2 linked regions of the Coturnix japonica genome follow. The protein of the gene in region 1 purifies or fractionates together with the protein of each later gene. This does not show direct contact. Links are inferred from orthologs where the notes say so. Each region holds a gene or a part of one and is shown in the gene's direction. Other genes may lie near its edges.

Region 1 (3,561 bases):
AAGTAATTAAGAAAATTGAAATGTTTGTTTGTCTGTGGGAGGGAGGAGAGCAGGCAGGAAGGAAGGGTGCTTTTGGGTCACCAGCAGATCTGAAATGTCAGACTCTGTTTTCCAGACAGAGTTGTTCTGCTTTTGTCAGACCCGACACTGCTGGAAATAAACAGTACGAGAAAGTTCACGTTGCTTACATAATTGGGTGTTAGCAGCCCTGCGGTGGTGGAGCATGCACAGTGCGCTTATACATGGTTTGTGTAAACCAGACTTATCTGACAAGTAGAAGGATGAATAAATGATTAATACAGTCTGTGTTTTTTTGTTTTTTTGTTTTGTTTTCTTCTTTATTCTGCAGACACCAGTGACTCGTACCTCGCCTCTTCCCAGCAGAATGTCCATCAGGTGCTTTCTCCTATTCCAAAGCCATGCATTCTTTCACGTTCTGAGTCTCTTTCTTCCTCACCATCCAGTCAAGGAGAGAAAATCAGGTAATGTCATTTACAAAGCAACATTTGAACCTGCTTTTTAAGGAAAATAAAATAAAAATTCATGGTGGTAGCTGCTTTTATACTTCAAATAAGCCATGAATTTTATGTCATAGCTTCTCTATAAAGGTGGGTAACATTTCCGTCTTTAGAATATTCTCTCTGTTTCACATTTTCCATTTAAAACTTTTCATGCATTAGTTTTCTGATTAACTTTTGAATGCTTTGGGTGCTGTTGCTCAAAACAAGGTATGGTATGGATCTTAATGTTTCAAAAACACTGTAAGATGTAAATCTATAGTGTCAGTTAGGCCTTCTGTTTGATTTCATTTCTTTGCACAGTAAACCACTTCCAGACAGCTGAACAGAAGATTTGTCGCTAATAAATTGTGAGAAACAAGTAGACGTAAGTGTTATTCTTGCGGTTTGCTCTCATGAGCTCTATTGGGATTTGACAGATTTGACTTTCCAGTGGGCTTCTGCATCATCCGTGTACATATATGATCCTGATAAGGCCAACAGTAATTTCTGCTGATGTTGCTGACTAATGTTAAAATAAACCTCGTTTCAGAAGACAGTTGACTCTTTAGAGGGGTCCAGTTCATCAAGCTGTAACGCTAACGTGTTTTTTTTCCTACTGAAATCATATTAGTGTGCCAGCATAACATTTCCTGGAATAGGAATCTGCAGTCTTCTTTGCATGTGTGTGATAAGTAGCAGAGCTTTTCTCCTGTCCTTTGTGTTTTAAGATCTTTGCTGAGTAAGTGATTGGATGTTGTGTTGAGGGATATGGTTTCGTGGGAGCTATTGGTAATAGGTGAACGGTTGGACTGGATGATCTTCTTGTTTTTTTCCAGCCTTGGTGATTCTATGATTCTGTGATTATAAATGAATAACTCTGAAAAATTAAGCCGTGCAGGAGTCTTCTGTTTTTCCTGTCTTTCTTATTTCCATATATGTATAATTCTTCTGTAACTAGTGGTTACCAGTGCCTTCACTTTCCAAGACTGAAAATCTTGATTCTTCATTAAAAGCTCAACTGTTTAGTATCTAAGGTGTCATTTCCTAGGAAAAGACACTTGAGTCAGTGTCTTGCTGGCCATCATTCCAGATTATATTACTGTAGAAAGATGGTTGTGCTAGGGCAGCTTTAGTGGTCATTCATAGGCCTCTTATATTTTCATGCTTAATATGCGTTTAGTGTAGAGACAATCTCTCTAGTTAGAATTTAGGAAGAGCTTTTATGTTTTTGGCCTTGAAAAGAAGCTATTGAGATTTTTAGGGACTGTGAGATTAATTCTGACATTGGTGTTTGCCTTCCCGTGGCTCTCCTTTGTCTGTTCATTGACATTTTCTACAGCGTGCATCAGGTTTGCTGTATTGTTGTGACAGAACTTAGAAAGGGAATGTTGAGTGGTGACCTGCGTGCTAAGGTTCTATGGGAAAATGCTCCAGTGCTGTGAGGAAATGTGCTTCTTTGAAGGGTGTTGGAGAGCCTGAACTACAAAAAGGAATAAACTGTGGGAACAGTAAAGCAGCATGACCAAGTTGTGTTGCAGAGAACAGGCGCGGGTCTGGCAGTGGGTGGTGGCTGCTTTCTTGGGTTCCTTGCGACAGATCAAGGGTGTGTGGTCCCATTAGCTTTCTTGGACTTCCTGCTTTCCCAAGACATCTTTAAAGGGAAAATGTTGTTTTGTTTAGGATTTTGAAGGGTTTTTGTGCATTGCGCTATTTACTGTTGCTTTAAGTATCTGAGAAATGCCATGTGTGGGCTTCTCCTCTGACTTACTCCCATTATTAGGCAAAAGCCACATTAGTGATGCTTACTGTGGGATTAGTTTTATGACCTGAAGATTTTAAGTGACGATGGGAACCTAAGTGGAAAGAAAAGGAAAGATGCTGTTATAACACCAGTAAACCATTAAGTTAGGCTTCTGTCAGTGGGGGAGAACAACTTCTCCTCTGATCAGGACCTTCTTGTTTATTTATATTTCAAAATATGAGCAGTATGAAGGAAACCAATAAATACAGGCAGGAAGACTGGAGTTATAAGGCAGATGAATTATCTGACCGTTCCTTTTTCATATATGGCTGAACCTAACTGAGGCTTGTTAGTGGTTTTAGGCTTAAAGTAATTTTATACACTAACAAAATAGTTCAGATGGTGGCAGTTGCTTTTTGTTTATAGTTTAATGGTCATTTTGGGCTTAACTCTTGGGATTTATTTGGTGTAAATGGAGCAGCCTACCAGCTTGTACTGAAAATGTCTCATTATGGGGGGTATGGTTTGTTCGTTCTCTGCTTTTAGCCCTATGGAAGGCCTGAACTGCTTAGAAATTCTAAGCACAAACATATTTATGGAAGGGTGAAAAGCAACAGCTGGTGTGTGGTAAGCTCCTTTATACAGCGCCACTGATGAATTGGTGACCTGCACTACTTCTGCTATTCTGATTCTGGTCAGTTTAGTAGAAAGGTCACGTGGGAGATGCCGTTCTTTCACATCATCTTTCTGATTAGATGAACGGGGATTTAGAATGAGGGCACTAACCCCATTTCTTATTGAATTTTCACCCCTCTGTTTATGTTTTGCCGGACCCATAATCCTAATACATTTCAAACGCATCTGTTAAAATGACATCGAAGTGGGAATTAGTTGAACACAGAGCCAAAAAGAGGCTTTCTATTTATTTATTTATTTTAATTTCAGTTGACTGCATGTCACACTGTTGCATTTCTGTTGTTTCAGTCCGATGCCTTTTATGTCATGTGTAGGTCTTGGGGAAAGGCTGTGGGGGGCAGTGCCTTATAGCAGAGAGTTGTCATTCGATAGAAGTTAGAGGAGTGTACTTCAATACATAACTTTGGAGGCAGAAAGCTGCAGTGTTTTGCTTGCATGAGTTTTACGTATGGTTTAGTGGGTTGCTAATCATGCAAGTAAACCTCTTTGCTTATAAGTTGTATTTTCAGATGTTTACCTTCTTCCTCCTCCTTTCAGGCTTCCGAATCAACGCATAGATAACCAAGATTTCAGTGATAATCCCAAGCCAGAGAAACTAGTATACGAAGACCTCGAAGAGCACTT
Region 2 (4,258 bases), on another chromosome or scaffold:
GTAGGAACGGGCTCGGCTCCCGCTCGGCGATACCGGCACAGCTTCGGCTCCTGCCGCTCACCTGCGGGTCGCAACTGCCGCCCCGGCTCCCGCGGCACCGAACACGCGCTGCCCGCGGGGTCCAACCGCCCCGGGATCCGCGCTGCCCCTCGGGAGCCCCGGCACCGACCGGGGAAAAGCCGCAGCAAAACCTCGTCTCGTTTTCAAGCGTTTGACTTCCCAACGTGAACCAGTTCGACTGGTTTCAAAACCCTGAGCCACTTCTAATTGTTGCTAGCGGGAACTGAAACTGAACCAAAACAGCTTCACCAAAACGGCTCCACCCGCAGTTCGCACTAAAATACGCTACTAGTGAAGCCACCCGCCGCCCCGCGGTGCAAATCGATGGTCTCTCGCTCCGCATTTCAGTGCATCAGTTCAACCTGCAGAGCAGCCATCGAAGTTAGAGACAGAACGCCGCTTTACAATGTTCTTTTACACCCTAAGCTGCACCTTGTTAAAATATCCACAGCGCTGCCTTCATGTTGATTCCTCAGATTTATTTTTATTAAGGGTTTCTGCCCTGTTTTGTACACTACATTCATCTTAAAGCCCTGCTGGGTGCACGGGTGGGTTTTGGTGCCTTGATGCTCACTACAGCACCTGTGGAAATAGCTGACATATCTCCTGCTGCCCCGAGCCTGTCAGCGCTGCCTTTCCTCCAGTTTAATCTGCAGTGCTTATAAAGTTAATAGCTCTCACAATCAATAAAAGTCACCAGTTCCACTTGATAAGATGGAAGAATTTTTTTGTAGTACTTGATAAGAGAAGCCAGGAGAAATACTGCCAAATAGATAACACAATCTGTAAGATTTCTACTCATCCTCTGTGCACGACAACACAAGTTATTTCTCTTCCAGTTGGTTCCACCTCTATTAGAAACTCCAACAAAAATCAACAGCAAAGATTTGAACTGATTTGGGAAATGGTTCATCATCCACAGAGCCAACAGTCAGCTCCTCAGAGCACGGCGAGGCACCAAACCTGCCCCGGAGCCACCACAGCCCCACACAGCCCCGGCAGTGTTACAGGCGGGTCCTTCTAAACAGAATCTCGTTTTTGGTCTGTGGAACGTTCATTTTTGAGAGACCTCGAGCAAAACTCTCTATGGATGGACTCTCTTAGCACACTAATAAATACTCTTTGAAATTAGAGGGGAGAGCACTACAGCAATACCAGAGCGCCCTTCCTCAGCCTCCGCTCGCTGAGCAGTCAGCAGGCGCACACAGGACACCAATGTGAGAGTAATTCCGCACACACATGTGCTGCCTGCTATTACCCTGCTCGCTATTTACCCCTGCCTGCCCTTCCCAGCGGACATCCCGGCAGCACAAGGGACCACAAGCGCTAGGAGCGGCTCCCGTCACACCGGCCCGCCCTCAGCCCGCCCAGTCAGCGCCTCAGAGCCTGCGCGGTGCCCGCCCGCTGGGGGCCGTTGGCCGCATCCGGGTCAGGGCGGTGGTTGTTGTGAGATGGCGACGATCGCGGAGCTGAAAGCAGGTGGATGGAGCGCTGAGGGGCTGCGGGAGGGACGGCAGGGCAGACAAGGGTCGCTCCGAGCCTTAACGGGGCTGCAGGCTGCTGGCTGCTCGCCTTGGGGAGTGGCGGAGCCGTTTGTTGCTCATTGAAAAGCATTTGAAGCATCCCCCATGTTTCTTCAACGCCCACACCTGTAGGCAATACCGATCTGTATCTAACAGTGTTGTCACACAGCGATCCGTACACGGGTGTGGTTTTCTTAATTTCATCACGAGTATCCGGGAATGGTGTTTGTATTGCAGGGGGGTGAATGCTGCTCCAGCGCTTTTGGGTTTATATTAACTGAGTTTTTATGGTGACAGTTTTAAAGGACACGCTGGAAAAAAGAGGAGCCCTGGGGCAGATAAGAGCCAGGATCAGAGCTGAGGTGTTCAACGCGTTGGATGACCAAAGCGAACCGCGGCCACCGCTGTCTGATGAGAACCTGCTGATCAATGAGCTGATCCGGGAATACCTGGAGTTCAACAAGTACAAATACGCGGCGTCTGTGCTCACTGCAGGTACTGGGCTGTGCGTGGTGTCATCGCTGCTGTCATTACTATCCACCGCCTGGCTGGGTAACTGAAGCCATGCAATCAGGTGGGAACAGGCTGTGTGATCTTGGCTAACCCTGGAAACAAACAGGATACAAACAACCTTTGCTGTGTTATTTGCAGCGTAACACCAAATTATACCATTAGTTTTTAAGAAAATGTGTTCTCAGTTGCTTATCCTTGAGGTAAATAGAGTTTACATTGACGGATCAGATGATGGAAGAGCAAAACAGTTTGCCAGCAGCCTACAAAGCCAAAACACCTTGCATGACTTGAGAGCTACAGCATTTAACTGGTAGCTCTAATTTATATCTAAAGTTGTTAAGGTCTGTAATTGTCCTTAGATGTGGTAGGTAATGACATTTGCTGTATGATCTGTTTTCCAGAAGCTGGCCAGCCTGAAGTGCCCTTGGATAGACAGTTTCTGGTCAAGGAGCTGAACATCGTTGAAGATGCGAATGGGAAATCAGTGTAAGGATTGATTTGGGAACACACGATGTACCCTGCACGTGTGTCTCCACAGTGATTGTATAAATCACATAGAAATGTTCAGTCACCAGCTCAGTATGACTGGATCACACAGCTGCTCTAACCATGCTGTGTTCAAGCGCACAGTGTCAAGCATGGGGCTGTTTTCAAACATCCTCAAAAGTAGCATTAAGTTCTGTGAACGCTATAGAATATGCTCACTAGCTGTTGTAATTGTGTGGCTGAGCCTCATACCACCTCAGTCTTTTCAGTCAGAAGAAAACCTGTTCTTTACACATTATTGATTTGATACGCAAAGCTGTAAAAAGATTATTGCGCTGTGAGATAAGATATAAATTCACAGTGTTCTGATGCAACTGGGTTTGTTAGGGTACAGAAGCAGGTTTAGACATGTTTGGTGATGCCCTATATCTTGGGCCCACACAATCTGTCTCATGCTTAGTAATAAATGTATTTTGGGATACGTGGTGGTGCTCAAGCCAATAGCCCACTGATCACATGTTTAATTTGCATGACAACATGGCTCCGTACCTGTTCTTGGTATGCCCTGATTCTTTGCTTGCAAGTGATCTGGAGTTCAGCTGAGAACGTCCCTTAGTGCAAGCTATGGGGAGGGGGTGGTCTTGAGGGGTGGCTTGTGCCTGTGCTTATTTATATAATTGCATTTAGCATAATGAATTTTAAATAGCTACTCTGAAGATATCTGAATGTTCTTTAGAAGTGAACATTAGGATGTAAGAACTTCTGAGGAGAAGCTGTTCGGTTATTTTTTTCAAATGCTCAGTAGTTAATATATCTCATAGACGGCTTTTGTGATTTTTGCCTTGAGCAGACCCCTCTTATATGGAATTATATCGCATTTCTTACATCGTGGTAATGAAGAAAGTACCCAGAGTACTCATCCAAAGGTGTCGTTGCTGAGTTATCCAAGGCAGAACTTTGCCAAACCATCTACTGAGAGGAATCAGAAAGGTGGGTGTGAGTATAGGGTCATCTTCACAGGAGCTTTATTTGTGACTTCATTTTCTATGAGCTGGGTTTGCTGATAACTGTGTAAACACGTGAGTGCGCACAGGGTACTTCCTTCTCTGTGCAAGGAAACCTTTTCTATAGAGAAATTTCTGCAGTAGGACATTGTTTATACATCAGAATACCATTAAACCATGTAGGACATTGTTTATATGTCAGAATACCATTAAACCATGTGACCTGACCATCCCTCTTGCTCATATATTCATTTAAGAATAGCCCTACAAAATCTAACTTCTGATTTCTAAAACTACCTCTATGTTCCTTTACTTAAATAAGTGTCCAACTGACACAGCTTCTTAGGTCTGCTTCTCTTCTGTTGGTATGTTAATGTACTGCATACAAATCTGGTTGCCCAGCGGAAAGATGATGGATATTTTACTGGAATGGATATTTTATTTAGAAAGCAGGCAGTTTTGAAAAGCAGGGATAGCAAAATGTGTAGAATTTTTTTGCAGTGTAAAAGTTACTGTGAAGCTCTTGTTACCATGCGGTAGCTGTAGCTATCTGTTATACTAAAGGGAAGCAAAAAAAAACCCAAATTGTTTAGCTTTATTCTTTCAATTCTTTTGGACTGTGAAAAGCTGAAAACTCATCTAAATGTGGACCCAACAAATTGTTTTCCCATC

What was found.
Region 2: the proteins of OFD1 (region 1) and CEP20 purify together in Homo sapiens (co-immunoprecipitation; 3 studies listed by BioGRID and IntAct, with this or other methods). This does not show direct contact. The link is inferred for Coturnix japonica from reciprocal best matches to the Homo sapiens genes OFD1 and CEP20.

What each region holds. Positions count from the first base shown.
Region 1 is NC_029516.1:110,794,993-110,798,553, reverse strand, and holds part of OFD1 (oral-facial-digital syndrome 1 protein), read left to right. Parts: intron 1-349; coding exon 350-482; intron 483-3,474; coding exon 3,475-3,561. UniProt on the Homo sapiens protein: Component of the centrioles controlling mother and daughter centrioles length. Recruits to the centriole IFT88 and centriole distal appendage-specific proteins including CEP164. Involved in the biogenesis of the cilium, a centriole-associated function.
Region 2 is NC_029529.1:7,457,511-7,461,768, reverse strand, and holds the start of CEP20 (lisH domain-containing protein FOPNL), read left to right. Parts: upstream 1-1,402; 5' UTR 1,403-1,511; coding exon 1,512-1,539; intron 1,540-1,880; coding exon 1,881-2,078; intron 2,079-2,497; coding exon 2,498-2,582; coding exon of another isoform or gene 2,583-2,586; intron 2,587-3,432; coding exon 3,433-3,572; intron 3,573-4,258. UniProt on the Homo sapiens protein: Involved in the biogenesis of cilia. Required for the recruitment of PLK1 to centrosomes and S phase progression.